4 linked regions of the Pelodiscus sinensis genome follow. Each later gene encodes a partner of the first gene's protein in a complex. Links are inferred from orthologs where the notes say so. Each region holds a gene or a part of one and is shown in the gene's direction. Other genes may lie near its edges.

What was found.
Region 2: PPP4R2 (region 1) and PPP4R3A share a complex: the UniProt entries of both Homo sapiens proteins name them as parts of the PP4 complex. The link is inferred for Pelodiscus sinensis from reciprocal best matches to the Homo sapiens genes PPP4R2 and PPP4R3A.
Region 3: PPP4R2 (region 1) and PPP4R3B share a complex: the UniProt entries of both Homo sapiens proteins name them as parts of the PP4 complex. The link is inferred for Pelodiscus sinensis from reciprocal best matches to the Homo sapiens genes PPP4R2 and PPP4R3B.
Region 4: PPP4R2 (region 1) and PPP4R4 share a complex: the UniProt entries of both Homo sapiens proteins name them as parts of the PP4 complex. The link is inferred for Pelodiscus sinensis from reciprocal best matches to the Homo sapiens genes PPP4R2 and PPP4R4.

The regions. Positions count from the first base shown.
Region 1 is NC_134721.1:11,130,733-11,138,126, forward strand, and holds the start of PPP4R2 (serine/threonine-protein phosphatase 4 regulatory subunit 2), read left to right. Parts: upstream 1-4,372; 5' UTR 4,373-4,513; coding exon 4,514-4,547; intron 4,548-4,873; exon of another isoform or gene 4,874-4,945; intron 4,946-5,107; coding exon 5,108-5,189; intron 5,190-7,394. UniProt on the Homo sapiens protein: Regulatory subunit of serine/threonine-protein phosphatase 4 (PP4). May regulate the activity of PPP4C at centrosomal microtubule organizing centers.
Region 2 is NC_134714.1:31,305,947-31,313,028, forward strand, and holds the start of PPP4R3A (serine/threonine-protein phosphatase 4 regulatory subunit 3A), read left to right. Parts: upstream 1-4,081; 5' UTR 4,082-5,127; coding exon 5,128-5,269; intron 5,270-7,082. UniProt on the Homo sapiens protein: Regulatory subunit of serine/threonine-protein phosphatase 4. May regulate the activity of PPP4C at centrosomal microtubule organizing centers.
Region 3 is NC_134713.1:176,541,829-176,549,325, reverse strand, and holds the start of PPP4R3B (serine/threonine-protein phosphatase 4 regulatory subunit 3B), read left to right. Parts: upstream 1-4,485; 5' UTR 4,486-4,759; coding exon 4,760-4,901; intron 4,902-5,999; coding exon 6,000-6,055; intron 6,056-7,497. UniProt on the Homo sapiens protein: Regulatory subunit of serine/threonine-protein phosphatase 4 (PP4). May regulate the activity of PPP4C at centrosomal microtubule organizing centers.
Region 4 is NC_134714.1:29,145,334-29,152,492, reverse strand, and holds the start of PPP4R4 (serine/threonine-protein phosphatase 4 regulatory subunit 4), read left to right. Parts: upstream 1-4,138; 5' UTR 4,139-4,994; coding exon 4,995-5,084; intron 5,085-5,585; coding exon 5,586-5,659; intron 5,660-7,159. UniProt on the Homo sapiens protein: Putative regulatory subunit of serine/threonine-protein phosphatase 4.

The DNA.
Region 1 (7,394 bases):
TACTTAGTGTGTGGAAAATACATTGAAAATGAAAAATTTTGTAAATCTTAAGTACTACTAGTCTCAATACTATTGCTGTTTTCCCCTAGAAATTGAGTTCAGGGAGCAATGCTATTTTTCTTTTTTAAATTTGAGGGTTGACCTATGGCACAAAAAATAACATTCTTTTGTAAAATATTTATAATTCCACTGTCTCTACTTCCTTTGGGTTATTAGCAGATATCCAGCTTCAGCCAGGGAGGACCTCAAAGTGTTAAATCTGAGATATTTCTACAGGATTAAAAATATTTTAGAAAGTTTACAAAACATTTAGAATACATTTTATACAGTGTGTTTTAACAAAGTGTATTTTTATATTGCATCACAAAACAGTTGATTTATATAGCATGTTATAAATATGAAGTGGTAAGTAGCATTAATCTTACTAACATTAAATGGTACTCCAAGCTCCAAAAGGTTTACAAGGATCTCAGTTCTAAAGCCCATGGAGTTCTAAATACGGGTTGTGGTTCTCCACTTTATAGAAAAAAAAAACATGTGTGTGGACATGGTTAGACTCTAGGAACTGGATTATCCCTGATGCATGCCAAAACTCACACAGAGAGCTCCTGGGGAAGTGGTCCCCAGGCAGAGCACGCCATATTGTTTGGTCAAAATTACTGGTTTTGTCCTCATCCAGAAAATAGACTGTACCCCAACCAGGTTAATCTCTTAGAGCACATCAGCATTCTTGCAATGCAACTTTATTGGAATTGTTCTGCCAAGGACCCTGAACTGGAATATTCAGGAAAGCTCACTGGGATTGGAGGGTGGACAATGTACATCATTATCAGCCATGCTCTGGCCCTCCTACTGTTCCTTGCGGTCTGTCAAATCTCTAACTCATGCTATGCATACTCTGTATTCTCAGGAAAAGTTGGTAGAGGAGGACGAAGAATGGTTCACAGAGATTACTGATTCCCCCTTCCTCCTTTTTTTGTATGAGAAGAGGGAAATCTATGGGCACACGTCCCTGCATATTCAGATCCGGGGTAGAGTGTGGGAGATGATCCAGGCCTATTCAGGATTTTACCTAATAGTAAATGACAGCAGATGTGCCAGCTCACATATGCCTAAAATAACAGTTAGCTGCAATATTTGGCTACTTTATTTATGACTTCATTTTTATGGGCATTTCCATTTCCTTCTAGGAATCATGATCCCGAGTGCCTCAAAGTGTCCACAGTAGATACGTTTGTGTGTGTGCAGCTGGCTGGCTGGTTAAAATCTGCAGAGCTGGGCGCTCAGATTCCCATGAATCCCACGTCTCTCTGTTTCAGTTAACATCCCTGTTGATTCTGGGACCCAGTCCAGGGAAGTATGGGGAAGATTGTACAGATTTTACCACTGCTCTGGGTGTTTGTCCTTTGTGGGCTTTTGTGTAGGGAAATTGATGGACCATTACAAGAATATATATCGAAAAGACATTTCTAAAAGTGCTTTTAGAAGTCCTTCACACTTTTTCAGTATTTCTGTTTAGTGCATAGATCTGTTTTCTCCCTCGCCAGAGGCTGTCATTTTAATTAAACTTCTCAATAGAAGTCCCTTTTGATGATTTTCAAACTAATGCCATGGCACTGTAAATTACTACATATGTGCTTAATTTTAAGCATGTGAGTGGTCCCATTGCCTTCAATACAACATCAATGGGAACCACTCATGCTCAAAATTAAGCACACCACTGTTTGCCAAATTAGGGTCTCAGACTGAAAGGATCAGCTTTTCCATTACAAATAATAGAAAGCATTGAAAATCAAGGTTCTGTAATTTTTAGAAATATATTTGCATAGTTTTGTTGTGCAAAAGCGGTTTAACTATCATTTCCTATTTATCAATTCCCAAACATGATTTTTCTAAAATTGTCAGATCAAATATGAGTGACCACCTAAATATGTGAGTCAATGTGTGTGTGCTTATATATAGCATAATTCATTTCATTTGTGGAAAATCATGCATTTGTATAATTGTGTATGTTCCTTTTCGTGATTACTGCTCAAAGTGTACCCCTTAATTAATGGATATGGGACTCAAAGATATTATATCTCAAATAAGGAATATCCCTCCAAGTTTGGCTGGATGATCATCCTAGTCAATTCTATTAGATGTATACATAAGAAATGATTACTGACTTTTAATGCAGCTGGTCAGTTGCACCTATACCTGAAAGCAATAGAAAACAGTAATTCATACCATGGTGTACAATGGTATTATAGTACAAAGCATGCTTATTTTAGATGGCATCTTTCATATAAAAATTACTGCAAAAATACTTAAGGTAAATAATATAATAGTCAAATAGCAGAGACAGTGCAGCTGGTGTGTAGGTAGTGCGTAAGGGAGTATGGAGTCTCCTCAAATCTGAGTGTGGCAGAAGTGTGTGTGTGGAAGGTGATGGGAGACGAGAAACCCCTCCCCAGAGTACGGATGTTGTGTGGGGGGCTAAGTATCCCCTCAGTCAGAGTGTGGAATGTGGGAGATTGGGAAGCCTCTGTGGAAGGGCCAGAAGGGGTGGGGAAGCCCCTATTGGAAACGTGGGTGTAGGAGAGGGGTTGGGTAGCCCCCCAGTCAGTATGGAAGATGGGGGGAGCTAGGGGAGACCCCTGTGGAAGGGGCAGGAGGGATTGGGAAACCCATATGACAGGGGTGAGAGGATGGGGAAGCCCCCCCAGTCAGTGTGGAAAGGGGGGTGAGGAGGCCCCATGGGCAGATGCAGGGGGATGGGGTAGCCCTCCCCAGTCAGTGTGTGTGGGGGGGTTAGGAGGCCCCTGGGCCAGATGCAGGGGGATGGGGTAGCCCCCCCAGTCAGTGTGTGTGGGGGGGGGGTTAGGAAGCCCCTGGAGCAGATGCAGGGGGGATGGGGTAGCCCCCCCAGTCCGTGTGTGGGGGGGGGTTAGGTGGCCCCTGGGGCAGATGCAGAGGGAGGGGGTAGCCCCCCACAGAGTGTGTTTGGGGGGGGTTAGGAGGCTCCTGGGACAGATGCAGGGGGATGGGGTAGCCCCCCCCCGAGTCAGTGTGGAATGGGGGTGAGGTGGCCCCTGGGGCAGATGCAGGGGGAGGGGGTAGCCCCCCAGTCAGTGTGTGGGGGGGTTAGGAGGCCCCTGGGGCAGATGCAGGGGGATCGGATAGGCACCCCAGTCAGTGTGGAGAGGGGGTGAGGTGGCCCCTGGGGCAGAGGCAGGGGGGTGGGGTAGCCCCCCCCAGTCAGTGTGGGGGGGGCGAGGTGGCCCCTGGGGCAGAGGGAGGGGTGACCCCCCCAGTCAGTGTGGGGGGGGCGAGGTGGCCCCTGGGGCAGAGGGAGGGGTGACCCCCCAGTCAGTGTGGGGGGGGCGAGGTGGCCCCTGGGGCAGAGGGAGGGGTGACCCCCCCAGTCAGTGTGGGGGGGCGAGGTGGCCCCTGGGGCAGAGGGAGGGGTGACCCCCCCAGTCAGTGTGGGGGGGCGAGGTGGCCCCTGGGGCAGAGGGAGGGGTGACCCCCCCCAGTCAGTGTGGGGGGGGCGAGGTGGCCCCTGGGGGGCAGAGGGAGGGGTGACCCCCCAGTCAGTGTGGGGGGGGCGAGGTGGCCCCTGGGGCAGAGGGAGGGGTGACCCCCCAGTCAGTGTGGGGGGGCGAGGTGGCCCCTGGGGCAGAGGGAGGGGTGACCCCCCAGTCAGTGTGGGGGGAGCGAGGTGGCCCCTGGGGCAGAGGGAGGGGTGACCCCCCAGTCAGTGTGGGGGGGCGAGGTGGCCCCTGGGGCAGAGGGAGGGGTGACCCCCCCCAGTCAGTGTGGGGGGGGCGAGGTGGCCCCTGGGGCAGAGGGAGGGGTGACCCCCCCAGTCAGTGTGGGGGGGCGAGGTGGCCCCTGGGGCAGAGGGAGGGGTGACCCCCCCAGTCAGTGTGGGGGGGCGAGGTGGCCCCTGGGGCAGAGGGAGGGGTGACCCCCCAGTCAGTGTGGGGGGGCGAGGTGGCCCCTGGGGCAGAGGGAGGGGTGACCCCCCCCAGTCAGTGTGGGGGGGGCGAGGTGGCCCCTGGGGCAGAGGGAGGGGTGACCCCCCCAGTCAGTGTGGGGGGAGCGAGGTGGCCCCTGGGGCAGAGGGAGGAGTGACCCCCCCAGTCAGTGTGGGGGGGGCGAGGTGGCCCCTGGGGCAGAGGGAGGGGTGACCCCCCCAGTCAGTGTGGGGGGGGCGAGGTGGCCCCCACTCAGAACGCAGAAGGCGAGGGCGGGGCCCCCTCCCCGCGGTACGTGCGCAAGCGGTGCGCGTACCGGCCGCCCGCCCGCGCCGAGCCCATCCCCTCGCGCTGCCGCCTCACCCAGCCCCGCCCCCCGGCGCGCCACCGCTCCCCCCGGGAGGGGGCGGGCCGTCGGGGGCGCGCACGGTGGCGGCCCGGCGCCATGTTGGAGGCTTGCTAAGCCCGCGGTGTGTGTTCGTGCCGCTGCCGGTGCCTGTTTCCTGTGCGGGGCGGGGGGGCAGGAGGCGGGAGCGGCGCCGCGGCGGACCATGGATGTCGAGAGGCTGCAGGAGGCGCTGAAAGGTGGGGGCCGGGCCGCGCGGGGGGCGCTCGCGCCGCCGCGGGTGGGTCCTGGCGCTGAGGGAGGCCACGGCCCCTGGGGCAGGCGAGGAGGCGGCGCCCCAGGCCGGGCGGAGGAGGCGGTGAGGAGCAAAGTCCCCTCCCCCCCGTCGCTGAGGCGGCAGCGCTCCCTGGGACACGAGGGAGAGCGCGCGGGGGGGGGGGCGGTGTAGGTGGGCGGCTGGGGGGGGCAGTGTCTCTTCTCTGCCCTTGACCCCCCCTTGCCCCGCGGAGCCCAGCGCCCCCGTTGTCCCCCCTCCCCTTATCCCCCGCCTGCCTCCCTGGGCGCAGCCGGCTCTCTCGTGGCTCCAGCCGCTCCTGGGAAGTTGCGAGTCAACTTCGAGTGACTTTCCGCCGTTCAGGTGCAGGCGGTTCCCTCCTCAGACAGCGGCGGGAGTGGGGTACCGGGGGGGGGGGTCTCGCTTTCCCGCACACTGGGACTTGGCAAAGCGTCTTGTGGGACCAAGGCCACTGATGGTAACTGGGATTTTCTCATCCCCCTCCCCCGCTTCCCTTACCTGCAGATTTTGAGAAGCGAGGGAAGAAGGAATCGTGTCCAGTGCTGGATCAGTTTCTTGGTCATGTTGCCAAGACTGGGGAGACAATGTAAGTCTGATTCCTTCCCCACTCTTATCAGTTGAGGCTCATAAGAGCTTTTACCAATTTTAGGCCCAGAGCTTTAGATTTAATGCCCGAGTTTGGTTGACATGCAGCTTGATTTTGTGACCTAAATATTTTGCCCTTCATTCTAGTGGCAGTTCTTAGTGATTGAAGACCTCTCCAGTTTTGTTGGTTTCTTTCCTTTCATGCTTGTAGTTGACCCACATGAGTCTGATATGATTGAGAAGTTTCTCCTTGTGTGTTGTATAGACTTGGTTCAGGGTCATCTGTCGGGTTTTGTGGATCCTGTGAATGCCTGTTGCTTTCGCCGCATTTTATATAATACTCATATCTGGTTGCATAGCCTGAAAGAGGAGAAGTTTTTTTTAGTGTGTATTGTGAAGTCTTTCAAACGTGATATCCCATAGCATGATTCACAAAAGCAAGTGACTTGGTGATTTAGATGAATGTTTGCAGGCTTTGTGTACTATACTCACAGGCTGCCTTGCATTCAGTTTCTGTTTTTTAAGTCAAAGGTGAAAAACATAATTTAGAAACTGTCTGCCCAAAAGGGTATGGGAACTAACTTGTTACCTTGCATTTCATTAGGTCCTCCTTTCTTAGTCTACACAACTGTTCCCACTTCACTCTCCCTAGGCTTTTCTTTCATAGATCAGCATTAACTGGGGTTAGGGCCGCTTTTTTTTTTGGAAGGGACATTGTATTTATCAAAGAGCTGGAATATCTCTCCTTGTCAGAGATAATCTCTGGTGCTGCATTGTGTTACTTCCTCGGTGCCTCACCATTTGGCAGGAAGGAGAAAGGCTTCCCTGGGTGCCTTGCTGGTGAATTGCTCACTTTCTGGCTCCCAGGCTGCCTCCTTGTTTTTTGAGGCCTAGTACAGGCTTCAGAAAGGAATGTGTGTCTATACCAGTGTTTTATTAGGAACTACTGATTCACAGAGGCTTTGTTCTAGCTTATAGTGTGTCTAACTTGCAAGAGATCTGATTTTTAATATACTGTGCTATTACTCGTTGAATTTGTGGCCTTTAAAGGGAAAACTCAAGTCCCGAAATGCACTTTGCTCTTTGAATCAAAGGTTTCAGCTCAGCAGAAAAAGGCACAGCTGTAATACAGATATTTTTGCTTAATGGATTGTTAGATGGTCTGACTTGAAAAAAATGCTATTTTTGTAAAGTGTAAAATTACTCTTTAAATATGATAGCTTATATTTTGTCTGAAATTTTGTCAGGCTTTTGTTGACTAGTCTGTGTATATGGTATTTTGGAAGCTATAAGATATTTGTAAAAGTCACCTCACAGGAAATATGTAAGAAAACATATATGATAGGGAATTTAGACCCAGGTGCTTTTGCTTGCTTTCTTTTTAGGAAATATGTGGATTAATTTTGTATTCATTTATACAAAGGCCTTGATCCTGCAATGAGCTCTGTTTGAGATACAAATCATGGACCTGTACATTCTCAATATTTCTCTTAATTTTTTAATTACTTGGTATTGTAGTTGCTGTAGCTGCTTACTAGTTTCTCATTTGTTAGTAATAGTTCAACAAGTCTCTAGTGTTCTCTTTTGTACACAAACAAGGCAATATATGGAGTGACTTTGCCATTACATTTAATTTTGCTCCCATTAGACCGCAAGGTCTACATTATTTCTTCATCTGATATTTTGCAAAATTTATTTACCAAATTCATTTTGAAATATTCAAATAATTAGGACCCTCTATTTAGGGAGAGTCCACCATGTTAGTGATTCTGCGTGTTGGCAATGTTTCTCTTTTACAAGTACTGTGTAGAGTTGTACATATTTCTGCTGACATGTAACATAACGAACAAAAAAGGATTTTGTGTTAGGGAAGGAAACAAATGATATAATATAACAGGCTATTTTGCTGTGTTTCATTTCAGTTAATGTTATTTCTCTGGTTTTCAAGTAAAGGTATTGTGGCTTTCATAATGTTTTTTCCAAACTCTGTGTATCCTTGATTTAAAAAAAAAAAAAAGATAACTTCTGTGGCATTTGTACTTTCTGGTAGATTAAGTTATTAAATGTAATTAATGTGGTATTGAAAAATAAGATAAAATGTTTAAAAAAAGGTCTTTGAGGCTCTCATGGACATGCTATAAATTGCACATCTAGCATTGTAGGTGTTAATCATACAAATACTAACTTAAGTGAGTTGTTCCACCTG
Region 2 (7,082 bases), on another chromosome or scaffold:
TTAGAGGTGTGCTGCTGATCTGGAGGTATAAGTTGTTCTCAAACTGGAAATAATTGTGGGTGAGAACAAAGTTACATAGGTCTGCTATCAGATTGGCAGTGGTGTCCTCTGGGATAGTGTTTCTAATTGCTTGTAATCCGTCTTCATGTGGGATGTTGGTGTATAGAGCTTTTACGTCCATGATGGCAAGGATGGTGTTATCGGGGAGGTTATCGATGTTTTGTAGTTTAGTAAGTCAGTAGTATCTCAGAGATAGCTGGGGGCGGTGGTTGCGTAGAGCTTGAGAAGAGAATGTCTAGCCAACTACAAAAGCAGTTTCTCCTCTCTTAGGGTATGTCTACACTACAAAGTTAGTTCGAACTAACGGACATTAGTTCGAACTAACATTCATAGGCGATACACTAGCGCTCCGCTAGTTCGAATTTAAATCGAACTAGCAGAGCGCTTAGTTCGAACTAGGAAAACCTCATTTTACGAGGATTAAGCCTAGTTCGAACTTACTAGTTCGAATTAAGGGGTGTGTAGCCCCTTAATTCGAACTAGTGGGAGGCTAGCCCTCCCCAGCTTTCCCTGGTGGCCACTCTGGCCAACACCAGGGAAACTCGTCTGCCCCCCTCCCGGCCCCGGACCCCTTAAAGGGCACGGGCTGGCTATGGTGCCCGTGCCAGGTGCAAGCCTGCCAGCACCCAGCCAGCAGACCCTGCACCTGACACGGCACAGAGCCACCCACCCGATGTCCCCCAGCCCACCCCCTCTTCCCGGGACCAGGCTGGTGGCTCCCGGGAGCTTGCCCATGACCGCAAGAGGCGGGCACCTTCCTGGGCTAGTGCAGACATCGTGGACCTCATCCACGATCTCCGCACTAGGCACAGGAAAGTGGCCGGCTAGGGCAGGAGAGCTGCCAGCCTGGCCACCCAGGAGCAGGTGTGCATGAAAATCAAGGTGGTCCACTGAGACCCCCGACCCTGAGCCCTGAGCTTACGATGGCCGTACTGGGTCAGACCAAAGGTCCATCTAGCCCAGTAGCCTGTCTGCCGACAGCGGCCAACACTAGGGACCCTGGAGGGGATGGACCGAAGACAGTGACCAAGCCATTTGTCTCGTGCCATCCCTCTCAAGCCTTCCACAAACTTTGGGAAGGGACACCACTCCTACCCCCTGGCTAAGACTACTCCATGGACCCAACCTCCATGACTTGATCTCACTTCCCTTTAAACTCTGTTCTAGTTGTAGCCTTCACAGCCTCCTGCAGCAAGGAGTTCCACAGGTTAACTATTTGCTTTGTCAAGAACAACAACTTTCTCATACTAGTTTGAAGCCTGCTACCCATTCCTTTCCTTTGATGTCCTCTAGTCCTTCTTTATGGGAACTCAGGAAGAACTTTTCTGAATGCACCCTCTCCACCCAACCCCTGCTTTTAGAGACCTCTATCCTGTCCCCCCTCCATCTCCTCTTTTCTAAGCTGAACAGTCCCAGTCTCTGTAGCCTCTCTTCATCTGGGACCTGTTCCCAACCCCTGATCATGTTAGTTGCCCTCCCCTCTCCCAGCCTTTCTCTTCCCCTCTCCCACCTCCTTTTCCCAGTCTCCCCCAGTTTTGTTCAATAAAGACAGAGTCAATGTTGGAAGAAACATTATCTTTATTTTGTACATCAGGAAGGGGGGCTAGGGAAGGGTAAGTGGAAGGAGGTGAGGGAGGAATGGGGTACGAGCCCCCGATGGGGAGGACTGGGCTGGCTCTGCGGGCTTCTGGGGGTGGAAGCTCTCCTGCAGCCCCCCAATTGCTCCCTCTCCCCAGATGGCAGCCTGCGGCAAGTGCAGCCGGTCTGATGGCCGAGTGCTGTGATGTGCCCAGTGTGGGCACTCCGGGCACTCCAAGCCAGGACTGGTTTTCAAGCGGGGATCTCCTGAGAACTGTCTGTCCGGTGTGGGGGTCGGGTCCTTTTAAGCGCAGCCCTCGGCTAGCCTGAGACAGCATCTCCACGCCTCTGATGCCCTGCTGGCACTGTTCAGGGTCCACTCAATGTGGACATGCTAGTTCGAATTAGCAAAACACTAATTCGAACTAGTTTTTAGTTCTAGACGCGTTAGTTCGAATTAGCTTAGTTCGAATTAACTAATTCGAATTAAGTTAGTTCGAACTAACTCTGTAGTGTAGACATACCCTTAGTGTTTACACCTCCAAATCAGCTGCCAGAAGTGGGTCTCATCCTGCCTGACTGAATTTACCTTGTTATCTCTAGCCTTACTCTTGATTGGTACTCTTTTCTTATGCTTGTATATTTATACCTGCCTCTGGAATTTCCACTACATGCATCTGATGATGTGGGTCTTTGCCCACGAAAGCTTATGCGCCGTCTCCAGCTTTCTCGCCCCGGAGCTCACAGGCAGCGATCAACCACCTCTACCTCCGGGGCGAGAAAAGCTGCTCCCGGTGCCCCTGGTCTGCTGGAGACCGTCTCCAGCAGACCAGGGGCACCGTGAGTGAAGCCGCAGCAGCGGCGGGTTCCCGCGCTTCTGAGGCTTTGCCAGCGCTGCCTGTGAGCTCTGGGGCGAGAAAGCCCCGTTCGTAAGTGCGGATCCGACGTAAGTTGGGGACTGCCTGTATTGCCACCCTAGCTTCTAGGCTGTTGCATGCAAAGCTTGGTCTCAGTCAACAGCTACCACTCTCTGCCCAGCTCTGAAGGCCACAGTGTGGAAGGGTGGCAAAACATACCATACCAAGCCACCCTTACTTATGGGCTGCTGCTGGTGAGCTGCTGCTTTCGGAGCTGGGTGCCCAGCCCATAACAGGCACTTTCCTGCCTCCCAGTTCTCATAGCAGTGCAGAAGTAATTGCAGCAATACTCCCCAACTCACCACCCCCCAAAAAACCCTTGTGATACCCTGCAGCTCCCTTTTGGGTCAGGACCCCCGATTTGAGATATGCTGGTCTCCCACCTCTGAAATCTGTATAGTAGAGGGTAAAAGCACAAAAAAAGAGACCAGTTTTCAGCAAGGGAGACCAGATTTCATGGTCCATGATATATTTTTTATGGCTGTGAAGTTATTAGGACCTTAAATATAAGTTGTGAAATATTATTTGTAATGGTGTTTTGGCCCTCCTGCCTACTGTTCTTGTGGGATGCCAAAGGGCGCCACCCTTCAGCTCAAGGGTGAACTAGGGTTGCCACGTGTCCGGTTTTGAACCAGTATTTGAGCTTTCTGTCCAGGAAATAAATTAGGAAAATACCGGACATATAAATGTCTGGTATTTTCTAATTAAGTAAGTTTTATTATTATCATGAGTATCAGTTCGTAGTTGCATACTGCATGAGTATCAGTACTGTGTGAGCGTGTCTACCAACCAGGCAGTACGCAACTACACAGTAGAGAGGAGGGGGACAGGGCTGGAGCAGGATGGAATCCCAGGGGCCGGACTCGCCCATGTGCCCCACTGGGACAGTGCGCAGGACGGGCAGGACCCTGGGATCTGCGTGTGCCTGGGCCAGCCCCACTCCCTGCTGGCCGGTTCCCCCCAGGCCAGCCCTGCTCCCTCCAGTGTGAACTCAAATGTAGGGTATAGCTACTGCTCTCACACACCAATTGAAGGCACTATGAAGGGTGTGGATGGTGCCCTATTGCCCTGCAGGACTGCCCCAAAAGGTGTGGGGGTGGTGTGCAGTGATGGGCCTGCTGAGCAATGAGGTTTTGCTCTGGCACCCCAGGGTGCGGTGGGCTACTGTTCTTTTACACTGCATGATCATTGGGGTGCTACGCCCGTAGGGTTCTGCCTCCCAGCGTGCTGAGGGGTGCCGTGAGGTCTTGGGTGGGGTGCTGCCCTTGCCCCCCAGGCTGCAAGTGGTCACGTGGGGGTGCTGTGGGGTCCTAGGTAGGTCACTCCGTGGGGTGCACACAGTGTGTGACTGAGGAGATTGGGTGACAGGCACGCGCTGCTCCCCGGGAGTGACTAGCGGGTAGCCCCCCCCCCCCATCCGCTGTCTCCCACTCCCCCCCCCCCATAGTCCCATCCCTTCTCAGAGCCTGTGTCTGCTGTTGGCCCTTTAAATGCCAGATGGCGGCCCGTGCCGCCGCTGGCTGGGAGACCCCGCGCCTCTAGTGAGAGGTGAAACCAAGATGGCGGTCGCGCAGTGACTGAGGCGGAGACGGAGCCAGTGGGACACAGTCGGGCCTCGCCGCGCCTCAGCCAGGCCGCCAGCCAGCCCGGCCGGGGAGGGACCGCGCGTGCCGGCGCCCGCAGCGGAGCGGGCCGGCCTAACCGAGCGGGCCGAGGAGCCGGGGCTGAGCCGCAGCAGTAGCGGGAGCAGAAGGAAGAAGAATATGGCGGCGGAGCCGGGCTGGGAGTGAAGCTGCCGCCTGCGAGGGGAGCCCATGGGGGAGACTGGACGCTGAGCCCGGCCGCCTTCGCATCGCTCCCGGGACAGGCAGCGCCCGCTGGCCGCCCACGAGCCGCTCCTGAGGAAGGAGGGGCCGCGCCGCCTCTGCCCCTCTATTGACAAACTGCGAGGGGGCGTCGGGCCTGGGCAGCGCCCGCACAATAGAGCCGAGCGCCGGGCAGGGGGCGAACTGACCTCGCTCCCTCCCTCTGCCGCCGATCTGCCACCACCCTAGTCACCTCTGTTGATCTCGCTTCTTCCTGCCCCCTTTCCGTCCAGCGCACTGCCCTCTCGAGTCACCCCTCTCCTGCTGCCCCATCCCCAGCCACCCCTTCCCTCTGCTTTCCCCCACCCGCTTCATCTCCCTAGCCATCTTTCTCTGCCATCCTCTTTTACCTCATTCACCAGCTCTCCTCTGATATTTCTGTTCCCTCCCCACACTTGCCCTGTGGCCCGTTGCTTTACACCTGGCAATCGCCAGGCTTCCCCTCCTGAATAGCACCTCCTGGTCCTCTGTAACTGCTTCCCACCTACCACCCCCTTCCCCAGCACTCTGCCCTGCCTCCAAATAGTGAGCATGAGGAGGAGACTGCCCCAGCAGTGAAGAATAAGGAGCGATCCCGGGGTGTCTTTTTGGGACTGCTACTCTCTTTTCTGCGCCTCTCCTTTGAGGGGGGCCTAGCCCCCCACCAACCTCCTGTTCCTTTAGGTGTCACAGGCCAGGGTGGTGGCTGTGGTGTGACAGGCGGCAGGATGACCGACACCCGGCGGAGAGTGAAAGTTTACACGCTGAATGAAGACCGCCAGTGGGATGATCGAGGCACTGGACATGTGTCCTCTGGCTACGTGGAAAGGCTGAAGGGCATGTCCCTGCTTGTCAGGGCAGAGAGCGATGGTAAGTGGTGTGAGAACATGGCAAGTATTGTAATCTTTTTCCAATCCACCTACAAAAAAAGATAATGGCTTTATATATCTGCTTTGTGATTTTATCTGCATAATTTGTATGTGATTCTGAAATCGGGCAGTCAGCAGCTATCGTTAACTCTTGTTAGGCTATATGACAAGGTTGGAAGATTAAGACAACACACTCCCACTCCTCAGGTACACACTTGATGCATATTGGACACACTGACATAAAGCTGTATACCACATACAGGTAGTACACATTTCACACACTATATTGCACACCACTATCCCATTTCTCCCCCTCCCCAAGATTTTTTTTCCCTAAACACTAATTGGGATCTCTTGTTGAAATAATTGATAATCCCAAGATTAAAGAAACTATTCACAGTTTGGATTAAATGTGTTGAACATAAAATATTAAAATTATTTCATTGTTGTTTCTTGTCTATTCAGCTTTCTGTAGGTGGGTTGCAAATATATTTTTCACTCTTTAGAAGTGTATTAAAGAGTATTTTATAATGTGTAGATAGATACTCGCAGTTTTGATTTCAAGACAATACAAAGAACAAAACAACATTTTGAGGATATTTTTAAGCAGCTACTGTATTCTGCGCTCATGCTAAAACTGCCCTTAGAATTACCCCTGAAATAATAAATTCACTTAAAATAAAGCATATCACCTGTTTTTCTCTCACTCCAAGCATGTTTTGCTACATTTTGATAGGTTTGTGTATGAACTATCCTTGATTACTTGATCAGTGAGTTAATGATTACTGTAGATTAAACTTTGAAGTATAGCTGGCTTCATTTAACTCTGGTACCATGAATGTAGTCTGTCCTATCTCATTTAACCATATAGTTATGTACTGGGTGATGTTTTTCTGCCATTAGCTACTTCCTGGCTTTCTATCTTACATCTGGGGAGGGTGGGTCATTCTTGTAGATTGCTGTTTATATTTGATTGCTATCTCCCCTATGTTTATTTGGTTTTCCTTGTGCTGAAACTGAAGGATAGAAAACTTCATTGAGGTCAGTTACTTAGTCCAGTCATTGTAGAAGAGGAAGTGCATGTTTTCAGGAGTTATCAGGAAATCCTAAATTGATACAGTAAGAATCAAATGTAGTAAGTTGATTATCCAAAGCATGTTTAAATGCTAATTATATTGACTTAAGTCTTTTAAATTGCTAAATTATTATTAATAAATTATGAAAACTAACTATATAATTGATTTTTTACAAAGAAGTTGGAGACCTGTTCTCCCCATTCTCTTCTGCATGTCTTATTTCTTAGGTTAGATAAACTCGAGATGGCAGTGGACCTTTATTATTAAATTTAAGGGTGGTGGGGAGCCCAGTGAGAAGGAGGAACATCACCATTATAAACAGGTTTATGTTACAGTGGTATAATTCTAGCACTCACCATCACCACTGTAGCTTTCAGGAGCTAAATAAATTAATAAACTTCAACTGAAACTTCAAATGAAAGAACGATGTTAAAACACCAAATGCAGTAGTAGTAGTGTTTTAAAAATACAATGATCTAGATAGAATTTTTGAGCATAAAATGCTGCAGGTTGTAATCTGACTGTGAAGAAGCAGTCTGTTCAAAGGACACAGTCTTCCACTGGTTTCAGTTACATTTGCATATACAGATTTATTTCAGTAGTTTCATTGCTGTAAATGAGCTTGTATAAATCTATTAAAGAAAATGGAAGTATGAAGTATTGTAAGTGTTACTTTAATGTGTATCTAGGAGTTACTGAATTTTAAAGATTAGTTATCCATAACTTTAAAAAGCAAAC
Region 3 (7,497 bases), on another chromosome or scaffold:
TCATCTACAGTAATATTCTCTCTTGGTGTATGTCTTCTATCACCAAGTAATGTACATTTTGGGTGTGGCCTGATATCCATTCATTTGTGCTGCCTGCAAATTAGAAATACTGCTGGGCCTGAGGCTTTACCTACCACTATGAATTAGGTGGTTCTTTGTTGTACATTTCTAAATAGGGCTGGGTGCTTTCCTGATTGTTCTGAATTCTGTGGTGCTTCATGTGCATTTATAAATACTGTTTGATTTCTTTGCTTGCACATTGTGTTCCATAACATTTGTTGTGAACTAATAAAGGTACTTTGATTATCCAAAAATACAACTTTGAGTACAAAAATTCAGTGCTCGAAATCAAAGTGCAAATAAACGCAAGCATACAATATTATACAAACTTAACATAATAGGATGAAATGTTTTAAATTTTATTGAAAAATAAGTACACATTAATGTCCATTTGTTTCAACAAAAAGGTAGTTCAGTTATGGTTACAGACACTAAACTGTGATTTGTAGCTGTAGCTTTGCTTGATGAGGAGATGAGTGGTAGGAATAAGGATGTGGTTTGGGTTGGGTGGAGCAGCAACTGTGGAATTCTCCAGGGAGTGTATAGGCTGATTCCAGGATTTTTTGACCAGTGGGTTTACCAGGATCTGTACCATTTAGATTTGCTGCCTGAGAAGACCCTTTAGATCCTGATGCAGTTCACATTCCTTGTCCTACTGAGACCCCCCCAAGCCTGTTGCTGGCCCTCTTTGTTTTTTGGCATGTTTTGATAATGGTGGCCCTTCAAACAATCTATTCATTGTCCAAAGCAGGCTTATAAGATCTCACCAAATATGTCCTCTGTAGTTGTCATCTTTCTCCTCATCGTGATCAGGTGCCCTTTAACAATGGAGGAGGCACCTAAGACCTGACTCCAGAAGCTACTGATAAAAACAGTTCCCTCCTACCATGCTGGCACTGTCCATGATCTTGGTGGTATTAACATTTGGTACCAACAGTGACCTCGACACCGGCACCTTCAGCACTTTCCACAGGATCAGCAGCACCAACAATAGCACAGGTGTCAGCTTTGCCTCCACCACTTCAGGCAGTGAGTTGATACCAGTCCTTCCCACAGTACTGAAAGGATAGCTGATGCCTATGCTGGCACTGATCTCTACATCTACACCCCTAGCACTGACTAGTGTGTCACTGGTGCCAGGGCTAGTCTGAGACCTCAGAGTCATGAGACTCATCAGGAGCTGCCAGCAGAGAACAAGCTCTGTTTTTAGTAGCTTACTCCTTCCCCATGAGGCATTGGCTGGCATAGCCATAAACCTGCACTTGAGGACAAATGGGCATTGCAGCAATTGCTGTGGGGAAGCAGCTCAGAGTCTGGGCATCAAGGCTGAAGAGATGAGTGAGGAGGTTGATCCCACGGTGAATGTTCTTGCCCTCTCAGGTCCTTCTCATTTCACACTTCCTATCACCCGAGACAAATGCCAGCTTCCCTGCCATCCAGTGCCCAGAATAATGAGTGGTATTATATTATGTTCTCCGAGGGGTGTGAACATTTATACTTTTACATGCTTCCTCATTCCCTTATTGTGGACCCAGGTAATCAGCATGAATGACAAGGTTTTCAGGGGAGCTCCCTAAAAAATGGGGGACTGTTTGGAGGACTATTTTATTTCACATGCCTGCTGCTACATATGTCCAACCAACAGGTTGTTGTACAACTCCTCTGTGGCAATGACCAAGTTTACAGAGCTGCTCCCGTCAGACTGACTAGTTGAATTTTTTGCTTAGGTTGAGAAAGGGAAGCTAATCTGCACTTCCCTACAGACCACTCTGGGTGGTGCTGATGCCACTAGAGTCATGGCTACAAGTAGAGCCATGAGGGGGGCTCCTGGCTCCATGTCTCTGCTCTTCCCCATGAAGTCCAGCAGACCAAATAGCACCTTCTCTTTGAGGGTGTAACTCTGTTTTCAGGGGAAAAAAACAGATAAGAGGCTATGTAGTCCTGCACACGCAACGGAGGCAATTCAGACCTCAACCTCTACCATGGTGTTACCAACAGCGCTGACAGGACAGCTCCCCAGAGAAGGAACAGGAGTGGCAGAAAGAGGCCACACCCATCCTCTGGCCATTCTAAACCACCTGGCCCTAAATAGACCTTTTGAAGGTACGGTCAAGGATGGCATACAAGCTCACCAACTGGATCCGCCTTGCCTTACCTTCTCCTCCAAACTATCCTCTTTCTATGAGGTATGGTCCCATATCACCTTGGATTGCAAGGTGCTCCACATAGTAGAGAGGGGAATACACTATCCAATTATTTTCCCTCCCACCCTCCTTCCCTGGCCCTATCCAGGGACCTTTTTCACAAAGAACTCCTTACCCAGGTGGTGCAGTTGCTCTTAGCAATATGGTCTGTGGAGGCAGTTCCACTGGAACATGGGGGCAGGGTTTTTTATTCCCAGTACTTTCTAATACCGAAGACCTGTGAGAAGAACTCAACAAGTTTGTAAGTAAACTCAAATTCTGCATGGTCTCTTTGGCCTCCAATGTCCTCTCTCTGGATATAGCAGACTGATAAGCCACCCTGAACTTGATGGATACATATCTCCATATTGCAATCATTCAGCCCCCCAGAACTACCTCAGGTTTGTGGTAAATGGTATCCATTACCAGTTTTCAGTCCTCCTGACTGGCCTGTTAGCTGCACCTCACAGCTTCACCGAGTGCATGCTTGTGGTCCCTGCATTTCTACACAGGCATCAGCTACAGGTGTTTCTGTACCTCAACAACTGGCTGATTAGGAGTTGCTCCAAGTCTCAGGTAGAGGCCCAACTCAAATTAATCACAGAGACGTTTGACAGCCTGTGTCAGGATTTCCTTCTTGTTTTCATCAAACCAGTCTTAGTGCTGATGCGTGGATTATCCTGTAGTTTCAGCATATGCACTGTGAATTATACTGGTGATGTTATAAGGTAAATAGGAGTTTCTCAGGCAGGTGTTGCTGGAACATCTCACATCTGGGTTGGTCTTGAAGTGGTTTGACTTACCAGTTTTGTTTAGCTTTTGGGTGTTTGCAGTGTGGTGGAGTGAGCTACAGATACATGGTTGAGTTTACTAATCAATGGTCTGCCCCAACAGTGTGATCTGTACCTCTTATGGCTCTTGTTATATAGACACTAGCATGGTTTTGAGCTCTGACTATAACACAGTCGAGAAGGTGCCAATGCTTGGACCAAAGAGATTTCCAGGTGTTCTTAAATAGGATATTCTGCCTAAAGATGGTATTTGTGATGAGCAGGTTGTACTCCACACATTTCCTGAGGAGGGGAATATCATTGGGATTTATATTTCCCACCTCCTCTTTGCCTATTATGTGCTTCAGAGTTGGGAGTCCTGGCAGACTTATCCCAGGAGGATGAGCTTGTCTGCTTTAGGTGTGGTTGTGAGGACTTCATCAAGAGTTCATTAAAACTGCTCCTTCTTTTCTTCCTCATTGAGTCTATGCATTGATGACTGTGGCATATTGCTTGTTGCTGAGCTTGAGCCAGAGTCAGGAAGCATTCATTGATCCCTATATGAAGTTCCAAAAGCTGACTGGCAATCTTGCTTTTGATTACAAAGACAATTCCATGAATGTCTCTCTCCTTGGCTGACTTTTCTTTCTAAAAGAAAGTGTAGCCATTACCATCCTTTTAATTGGCCTTCAGTGGCCTGACAGGTCTAACTAAGAGCTGCAATGTCAGTGTTGAATCTTGCCAGTTGTCTGGCAGTTAAGGAAGTAGTTTCTAGGCATTTGCTGGGATAAGCGTCGGTAAGGGTGCAGACATTCCAGGTGGTGAAATTTATTGCCTTTATATATATCCTATTTTGGCCATGGAGTTGTGATCCCACCGGATGTGTCAATCCAGTCAGAAGAGTGCAAGAGAGCCTAAGTTTGGGGCTTTTTCTTTTTGTAGCCCTCTCATTTGGAGTGATTGGAGGGAATAAAAAACAAGTCTGATCAGTCACAGTTGCTGCTGGCAAAATGCACTTCTGTCTCATTCAAGCACAAAGTGCCTGCCACCTGTGTGTGGATTTATGACTAAAGACTCCCAGAGATCATGCCTCCTGTCTTTGTTGTCACTTACAGTTGGGGTGTTTCAGGGGCTGTTGTTAGGTTCTAGCGGGGTCCATGCTTATGGGGTGTCCCGTGGGCCCTGGAGTGGATAATGGTGGGCTCAGTGGCTGCTGGGCAGTAGCAGGATTGTGATTGCAGCGTGCTCATGGGTGCTGAGAGCCACTGAACCAGACTGCAAACCCCATGTGTTGGAAACCACTTCCAGCCAGAGCGTGCTCCGCTTCTAAGGACCCTGGGCAGGAGGTGGGAGAGGGGCGCTGAGGTCACAGGGGGAGGGTGCCATAGTGTGTAAGCCGGCGGGAGGCGGCCTCAGGGCGGGGACACACAAGCCCGCCCCCTCCGTCCTTGCAGCAGCGCGCGTGGGCTCTCGGCCGCCGTAGCCCCTGCTAGTGGAGCCCGTGGCACGCGCTGCTGAAAGGAAGAGAAAGGCAGGAGAGTCGGGTTACAAGATGGCGGCCGCGCTGTGGTAGCTGCTGAGGCGGCGGCGCGGAGTGAGAGGGACCGAGCTGGGGGCTCAACTTTCCCCTCTCGCTTGCAGGGAGCCATGAAAAGCGGCGTGTTAAAAACCCCGCGCTGCGCGTGAGCGACTGCCCGAGCCCGTGGAGGCGGTGAGCCAGCGCGGAGGCCCCCGGCGGGCTGCACCATGTCGGACACCCGGCGGCGGGTGAAGGTCTATACCCTCAATGAGGACCGGCAATGGGACGACAGGGGCACCGGACACGTCTCCTCCACCTACGTGGAGCGACTCAAGGGGATGTCGCTTCTAGTGCGGGCCGAGTCGGACGGTGAGAGCGGAGCCAGGAGCTGCGGGGAGGCCTAGGCCCTGCCGGGAAGGGGGCCCGCGGCTTGGCCCCCGTGGTGCTCTTCCAGCCTGGCCGGTCACTGCCTTGGGCCGGGTGCTGGGACAAGGGGACTGGGGGAGGGGAGAGAATGTGACATCTCCCCGCGCGCAGCGCCCTGCAAACACGGACCCCACCAGTCTGCTGGTCTGGCCTTGCCTGGCCCGGCCAAAGCCCCAGACACTGATACGCTCTGGGCTTGTGTGAGGGAGTCTGCCCCGTTCCCTGAGAGGCAGCGTCTCTAGGGGGCTTTTTCCTCCTGCCTCCAAACTTTCCTCCTTCACTCGGTGAAGCCGAGTGTGGTCTGCACTGAAGTGACTCCAAATGCTTCCTTAACGTTATCACCCGTGACTGAGTCTGCCAGCCCTCACTTAGCCTTCCCCGAAAGTGGTTTTCTGGTCGTGCCGGGAATTTGTTTTTGTAAATTCTCTGTTTTGGAAAAGTGAAAGTCTTGCTGGTGGGTTTTTTAAATTGCGTGTTTAAGTTTCCATTGGGGGGAAAAAATAAGGAAAAAAAGTGGCAACTTTGTCAGCCGACAGGTGCTAATGTGCTAAATAAACCTTATGACTCTGAGGCCTGGTATAGATTACTCCAGAACTGTTGCCAGGATACATATGTTACTTACACAAAATAAAGTCTTTGGGTTTATAGGGTCTAGATCATTCACTTCTGAAGGGCATCTCAAGGAGATATGAGCAAAAAATGCAAAAAAAATGCAAGTAAATTTTTTTCTTAAACTGCTAGTTATAATTTATTGTTAGTATTGATTTATAAAACGTTCCTCATAATTGTATAATATAGCAGAAAAATAGCAATACCCAGACCATTGAGTTTAAATGAAATTTTGTTTTAAATTTGTCTGTGGTGGACTTCTTCAGAAGGTGTAGGGATTTCCATTAAAATGCAAATATTTTTCTTAGACTTGCTAGATGATGTGGATTAATTAGAATTTAATGTGTTTATGGGCACATGGCCAGTTATAACAGCCATGGAGATGTCTGTTTAATTAAACTTCCTAAAAGTAACTCCTTATCACCTTTTCAGGTTCTCTATTGTTGGAATCAAAGATAAATCCAAACACTGCATATCAAAAACAGCAGGTAAGTATCAGCTTCTTTTGTCATATTATTTGACACTGAATTTGGCACAAAATTAGTGCCAATTTACAGAAAAAGGTGATGGTACAGATTTGCTCATGTTTCTTTTTTGTGCATACTGAAAAATTGTACTTATCTTAAATTATAGCAATAATATGTTTGATGAAAGGTGCCATGAATGGAAGTATACTTAAATATGGAGTATACATATAATTCCGTATTATTTTCACAACCCAATATTGACTTATGCAACTATTTTAAACAAGAAAATAAAACCTTCACCAGTAGTGTTTCTGCATGCTGATTATTTCTTTAGTTCTTTTTCTGAAAATGACATCAAGGAATCCATCTCTAAAGTGTGGCTTTTTTATTATTATTCAAGCCCACCTGCTAGCCTAAACCAACTGAGCTGACTAACCAGCATTAAATGCAATTGAAACCACCACATCTTTAGGACATGACTTCTGTAAATCAAAAGAATAAAACAGTTTGGCACTGTGTTTACCATTTTGTTGACCTTCTAGTAATCCATTAAAAATAGTGATGTACTGTGTCTCTTTTGCTTTTATTACCTATCCTTTTCCTTCTATTACTGTCCTTTTTTTTTCCTGTAACATTCTTTTCTTATGTTGTCCTCATTGGTTTTCTGCAACATTTCTTTTTCCATCCACTCCCTTTTTCCTCTGCACTAGATACTCTACATTTTTTATCCAAGTTATCATATTAGTACGTATTACCATATTTTTTTAGTAATTCTCATCAGTAATACTTCCTACCCTTGGCACAAAAGACAGCCTGAGGTTTTCTAATTAATATAAAAATATGTGATTATGGAGTACTATTGCAAGAGAACTTGAATAAACAGGTTTTCAGTTAGTTCTGAATTCCGTAAGAGTATTGATCAACATTATTTGATCTGGCAGTGAGTTCTATAGTCTTGGCTCCAGGTCTCATGAAGATTCTACATCTCCCGTGGTCACAAGTTTCTACCTACTTGGTATTGGTTTAGTTGCTCCAATGGAGTAGAGAGAGAGTTTTGAAAATCAAGGTAGGATTGGGCAGGATTTTGTTCAGTAGAGAGCATGCACAGAGAATTCCTTCTAAATGCAATATTGAATGCAGATTGTTTCTGAACAGGTGCGTTGACTTGTTTTGAATTCTCTTTAAGATTTCATATTGCTGTCTCTTATTATTCCATATACAATCAATAGGAAAGTTCCTAGTGGACTTCATGGACTCTGGTTCTGTTCATTCTTTCGTGAATAATTTTTTTCTTAAGATGAGGTGAGGGTTTGTCTGTTTTGCTTGGTTTTTTGTTTTGTTTTTAGGAGCAGGACTTTTTGGATTGCTGAGAGGAGTTCATGATGATTATTCTTGCTATGATGGATGGAGGCTTGCACGGATACAAACTTAATATCCACATCTGCAAAAATGATCTGCGGATA
Region 4 (7,159 bases), on another chromosome or scaffold:
TAACTCTTTTTCCAAAGGCAGGAATCCTTTGTATTCAGTTTCAATTTTTCATACTTCCAGTGGAAAAGTACAGCATTCAAAATGGGTTCTAGAATCAGGTGATTTGGTCCCATGTCATGGCAGGACCAGTCACAGTCCAGGCTTAGAGGAAAAACAAGACTTTTCACAGATCATTGTCCCAAGTACAGGCCATTAAGTTCCTTGAGTACTACTAATGGCTCTTACTTAGCCTGTCTAGATTAGTAAAACAGGTTTATACTTCATATTTCTAAACTCAAATAAACTATACACATCCAGCAGGTTATACATTTTTAAATTTTATGTTACATTATATTCATAAATATAACTTGAATATGCTTACTGTAAAATATTTCATGTATTTCCATAAATAATATGGGATGCAATGTCACAAGCACTTCTTCTTTCCCCCCCCCATACCTATGATTTCAGAACAAGCAAGGTTCCTCAGTGCTGATACTCCAGTTATGATAGTCGTCCTCAGGAATGAAAGAAACTTAAATTTCTTACAGGTACACATCACATCAGACCAAACATGAATGTATTCCACCTGGCAAGAAGTAAAAATTGAAAATGGAAGGGGATTTGTAATGTAAAATATGTAATTAAAGCAATAACTCTACTTTTCTGTTATTAATGCAGTTTCATTCCCATTGGCGTGGGGGGGGGGGGGGGGGAGCTGAGGATGTGTGTGGGGCACCAGAGCCAGGGATGAGGCTGTGGGGGCAGGAGTTGCCAGAGTCAGGGAAGGGAGTGGGAGTGCAGGAAGCTCAGAGCATGGGGAGGGGGTTCAAAGCAGAGCGGTGGATGCGAGGGGGCTCAGGACAGGGGTAGGATTGCATGTGTGAAGTGCAGGAGTTGGGGTGGGGGTGTGGCCTGTGACTAGGTAACCTTACCTGGCCACAAGGGAGCTGTGGGCAGTCTGTTTGGGGGTGCTGCTGCTGGGAAACTGGCTTTTCCCCCAGGGACTGATGGCAACAGTGCAAGTCAGGGATAGCATGTAGGCTGCCCAGCACACGTCTACCCTACAGCACACCTCCATCTAGTCCCTTTACACTTCCTGCAGTGCTGCCTCACCTGCAGCTGCAGGAGTTGAGCTAGGAGACCACGTGCAAGCTGCACCCCAGCCAGCTCTTTAAAGAGCTCTTGATGGAGCAGTGCACTGGGTCACACCCCCTTAATTTCACCTCTGGTTGTCCTACCGGGTCTCTATGATACCAATTAAGTCATAATTTTCTTCATATATTATGACTTTCAGTTCATCCTGCTTGCTCCCCATATTCATATGAATGTAAGACTGGCTATTCTGAGTCAGACCATTGGTCATTCTAGCCCAGTATCCTGTTTTCCAATAGTGGTTAATGCCAGATACTACAGAGGGAATGAACAAAACAGATAATCATCTGAGAACCTAAAAGTATCAATCATTCCCATCTGAAGGACAGTCAGTGGTTCTTTTCCGCTTCTGTTAGGATCCTGTCTTCAGCATCAGATCCATCCCCCGTTATCCATTCCTAGCATTTACTCCTTGCATTTGTGTACAGGCATCAAAGATATTTTGCAGACTGCCTTGGAATATCTGTATTCTGGTCATGATTACTATTGTACTATATTTCCAGTATTCCTGTATTATCTGGCTTCATTTCCTGCACCACAAGTTGTAGTTTCTCCATTTTGTGGCACAGGCTGTTTGTAGTGGTATACAAATGTTTTTGTTGGTTCTCCTTGGCTTACCCAGATTCCTGGCCTGATTAGGACAGTCATTTTACTGCTAGTATTGCTTACCTGACCATTAATGTCATTGGTCCTCTTTCTACCTTCAGTAGCTCCTTTCTCACTTCTGTATACTTTTTTATTTGATTGTCCTTTTGCTTGATATTACAAGACAGGCATGGGGATTACAAAAGAATCTTCCAGTCATCTCCCCCAAATCCCAAGTTTAAAGCTTTTTTTTAATCATTTATGCCAAACTGAATTTAAAAAAATCTATTATCTTGACCTTCCTACTCAACTCAGGTGGAGTCTATCCCATAAGAACAGTCATCTATCATGAATGCCTCCCTATGACCAAACATCCCAAAGCCTTTCTTGTAGCACTATTACCTGAGTCATCTGTTGATCATCATAATCTTGTCTTACCTTTGCTTGTCTCTAGTGACAGGTAGAATCCCAATTAAGTTCACCTGAGCCTCTGTTACTTTAAGCATCTTCTCCAGCCTAGTGTAGTCTTCCTTGATGCATCCCAGTGAGAGTATGCCAGTATAAATTATTCCCATGTGGAGGACAGTCAGTGGTTTTTTTCTGCTTCTGTTAGGATCCTGTCTTCAGCAGGTGCATATGCGGTATCTTAGCTACCAGCAGACAACCCACCCATCTGCTCTTCATTTCAACTCTGGAGACAAGTCTATCTGCTTTTTTGGTAGTTCCCAAATAAATCAACTCTGTCTCTTCTTGGTGTTGCTATGATTCTCCTGCTTTTATTTTTTTTCTTGCTGCAAGTCTTCTTGTCTTCTCTTGATTGCAATCTTTTGTGAGTATGATGGAGGAGAGAGCCCTGACAGTTTGGCAAATTGACTATCAGCCATATCTAAAAACAGGATACTATTATTTCAAAATAATATTGAATATATTTTCCTTCTACACAAATATGTATTTGCCAGGCAGAATGATACATTTTACTGTAAGTTGAGAATACTTATAAAAATCAAATACAATAATAAACCTTGTCTTATTGTATGAGTAAGTCTGAACATTATCTAACCAGAGCCCATGAAAAAACAGGAGGTGAATACTAACAAGGTATTATTACTGGAGATGTCTTCCATCCTCCATTATAGACCTGGTGCCAAGTCCATTTATTTGAAGATAAATTCTTTGCTGGAGATTAATTTTAATTGAGCTTTTAAAAGCTTATAGTATAAAAGGAGTTTGCTGTGTATTTCATGAGATGCTTACACAAACATTTCTGAAAATTTGATCTCACTCAAAAACTTTTTGAGGTCTATTTTAAAATAGACCAGACATTGGATTTTGGAGGAAAAATGTAGGTGTGGGGTGTAAGGACAGTTCTGACGTAGGAGAGAAAGTGTTTATGAGAATGTCATACCAATAGTCCAGTTAGTTCAGTGTCCTGTCTTCCAACAGTGGCTAGTGCTACCAGATGCTTCAGAGGGAATGAACAGAACAGCACAATTTATAAAGCAAGGCAGTCCAAGATTTAGGGATACCCAGCGCATGGAATAATAGGTGTGTGATGGAGGAGTACTGACATTGTGGGAAAGAGGGGTATGATGGATCAGAGCTCTGCCATTGGGATCATGAATCCTATTGCTGGTGGTGGAGGAATCTACAATATGGGACATCTACAGTATGGGACAACTCTGATGGTTGGTTGGTTGTGCCTGCGTTGTGGGTGTGTGTGTGTGTGTGTGTGTGTAGAGCCAAAGAGCTCTCACACTGTGTGTGTATGCGTGTGTGTGTAGACAGCTAGAGAGCTCTCACATTGTGTGTGGGTGAAAGAGAGGTGGAGGAAAGAACTTGGACATAGCATATGAGGGTGTGTGACAAGAAGAGAGGCATGGCCGGTTTGTGATGGTGGAGTGCTCTGACGTTATCTGTATGTGGTTGTGAAGTGTGCGATGGAGGAGGGAGCCCTGTCACTGTGTGTGTATGTGTGTGAAGGGGAGATCGGAGGAGGAACGAGCCCTGAAATTGGGGAGAGGGGAGGCGAGAACTGTGACGGTGCGTAGGGGGAAGGAGGAAAGAGCCATAGCACAGTGTGTGAGTGAGAATGTGAGATGGAGGAGAGCTCTGACACGGCGGTGTGTAAGGGAGGAGAGCCCAGACCCCGCCGTGTGTGGGTGTACGATCGAGGAGAACCCAGTCATCGGGTGTGGGTGTGAATGAGATGGAGGAGGGCCCTGACACAGCGCTAGGTGAGGCAGGCGGAGCTCCGCTAGTGGCCGGCGGGGGTCACCTCTGTCCTGGAGCTTGATCCCTCCCATTCCGGGCTGACCTGCGACAAGGTAGCATCGGCGCCCCGGCCCGCATCCCCCGGCGCGTTCGGATATTGCCGCGTTCCGGCAGCTCTTTTGCCCCGCGAAGGCCGCGGTAGCGGCGCGTTGCCCCGGCGACCGGCTTCGCTGTGCTGGGGGCGGCTCCTGCTCTCAGTCGTTGAACGGCGGCTCTGCGCTTCGCTGGGGCCTCGCTGGAGAAGGGAGCGTAGCCGGGCGCCTGGGAAACCTCTGTCCTTCCCGAGGCCCATCCTGGGGCGATGGCACCGTACCCCCCTCACTGGTGACCTATCCGGGCGGATCACGCCCCCGGGGTGCGCTGAGGAGGCGGCCCAACCGCACGCGCAACTGCGCCCCATCCACCGCTCTTGGGGGACCTGCGGCAGAAGGGCGGACTGCCCCCACCTACCCGCTTAGGGGACTTGCCCCCATAGGCTCCCTTTACGTGGAGGCTGCACAAACAACTGCGCCCGATCCCTTCTGGGGGCGGCACCCGCGGGCTGGTGCCTCCTCCCCACAACCCTGAGGACAAGAGCATCGCTTGTACGTGGAGGAGAAAGTGGAAGCCACCCCTCCCCTCCTCCCCCGCCCCAGCAGGGCACGAGGAGCGAAGGGTAAGAAGGCTGGTGCCTGCCGCTCCCTGCAGACGCCGGAGGGAAGTGAAGCAGCTGAAGAAAGTTTCCTTCCAGGAGGTTGTGCTGAGAATGGAGTGATGCTCATAAAAAGGCAGAAGTGGGTTGTGCTGGTGCCGCATTGTGTTTACTGAGGCCCCTCCTGGGTGGTGGGGGCTCAGCAGCTTCGTATGAGGAAGAGTCAGTCACTGGTACTGCTCTACATTCAAGTGCATCGGTGGAAGGGGGTGTTTCACGGACTCCTCCCTTACTAAATGCAATGTGACGCTTGGATGGATCATGGTTTGCCAAGGGCTCTAGTTGTTACGTGCATCCGATAATCATCTCCAAAATGGATTTTAGTCAGAACAATTTATTTGGATACATAGAAGACCTTCAGGAACTTACTATTATAGAAAGGCCGGTACGCAGGAGTTTAAAGGTATATACTTAAAACCCTGAATGATGCTTTAAAATCCAGCAATTATTGCAGGCTTGTATTTGTGCATAGATTGCTGCACTGACCGTGTTCTTGCAGCACTCATTTTTAAAATTTGTTTTCACTTGTGGTGAAATTAACATCCTTGAATTCTGTTTAGTAGAGCCTTAATGTTTCTCGGTATATACAAAGTCTTAAGTAGGAAAAATGAAGAAAACTTAGTTGATGTTTAAAGTAACTTTCATATATTTTATATTAACTGTAAATGAAATATATATTGTAAGAATAACTGTTAGAACAGTATTGTATAAGAACCACTGACATATTTCTGGCTAAAGATTTACCTGATTGAATTAGAAACCTCATTTGCAATTTTAAGAATTAAATTCCCATTAACCATGTAATTGTTTCTGGAGGTTGGAAAAAGGGATTGTTACAAGACAATTGAAAAAAAGGAAATAGTAAGGTATTTTAAAATCATATTTTGTATTTCACACTTGACAGACACCAGAAGAAATAGAGAGATTGACAGTTGATGAAGAACTCAATGATATTGAAAGGGCTGTATATCTACTCAGGTATGTCCTAAAATATTGTTGTGCATGTGTACAACATCTAGTTTTTATTTTAGTTCCCTATTTCTATTTCCTTATGTTTTCTGTCTATAACATTTGTTGGTTTTATTCTTCTTACTATATGGATGATTATAAATAGAGGCAAGATAAAATAGGTGTCATTTGATCAACTTGCACATGTTGGCATTGGATAGGATACTCCTACAGATCTACAAGTGTTTCTTTGCTCAGTGAGTTCCTGATATGTGCCTTTGCCATTAATGAATTGTTTGTACTTCATTTCTCTCTCTCTCTCTCTCTCTTTTTTTTTTTTTTGCCCTGTAATTGGTTTTCCAAGGTTCACTGGACTGAATGTTGGTATTAAAGAGAGCAATCAGTGACTAACTTCATATTCACTCTATATGAGCAATGATTATGCTGATATGGAACAGAGTTGTTTGAGTTTGTTGCATGCTTCTGGGCAGTATAAAGAGGGGAATGTTGAGAGATCGGTCTTAAAATCCTAAGAAAATAATGTGTAACATATTATTTTAATATTAACCGTGCTCTTGTTCCTCATTTTATCCTCCTCTTCCAGTTCCCTAACCTATCTAGTTACTATTGCTTGTTTTAAATTATAATTGTTTCAAACCCAGAGCTCTTTTGACTCAACTGCAGATGTAATCTTTGAAGGGATAAGTGTTCTGAAGGATTTTGATTTGAATATACATTTTTATGTAATGCTCAGTAATTAGCAAGCCAGCTGCAAGCTTCCTCCCAAATTGTCTTTCTGCCATCTTTAGCGGTCTCTGAATCCATGCTTGCCTTACATGTTTTCAGTATGTTTTTTAGTTTCCTAATTGTTTTGGTTTGGTCTGCTTGGCAGTATTGATAGGCCAGCATTTTTGTCCATCTGCTGTACTTTTGGTAATAAATTTTGGCTACCGTTAATTTTTTTTAATGTTTAATGGTCTAATCATTAAAGGCCCGATTTTGCAATGGTTACTAATGCAATTTTATGACTAGTCCCATTAGGGTTGCCAACTTTCTAACCCCACAAATCCAAACACCCTTACCATGCTCCCTTCCCTGAGGCCCCACCCCATTCACTCCATCCTCCCTCTTTCTATAACTTGGTCTCCCATATCTTCACTCACTGGGCTGTGGCAGAAGGGGTGTGGGAGGGGGTGCAGGCTCTTGATGGGGGTACAGGCTCTAGGGTGGGGACGGGGATAAGGGGTTTAGAAGGTGGGGGGGGGCTCTGGGCTAAGGCCAAGGGGCTCACACTGCAGGAGGGAGCTCAAGGCTGGGGCAGGAAGCTGGGGTGCAGGCTCTGCAAGGAAGTTTGGGTGCAGGACAGGGTTCTGATCTGGAGCAGGACCTTGGGATATGGAAAAGAGCCTGGGTTGTGGGATTTGGGCAGGCAGTGCTATCTCAATTGGCTCTTGGTCGCCGGTGCTGAGGGGCGAAAACAGGTTCCCTGCCTGCCCTGGCTCTGTGCAGCTCCCAGAAGTGACCGACGTG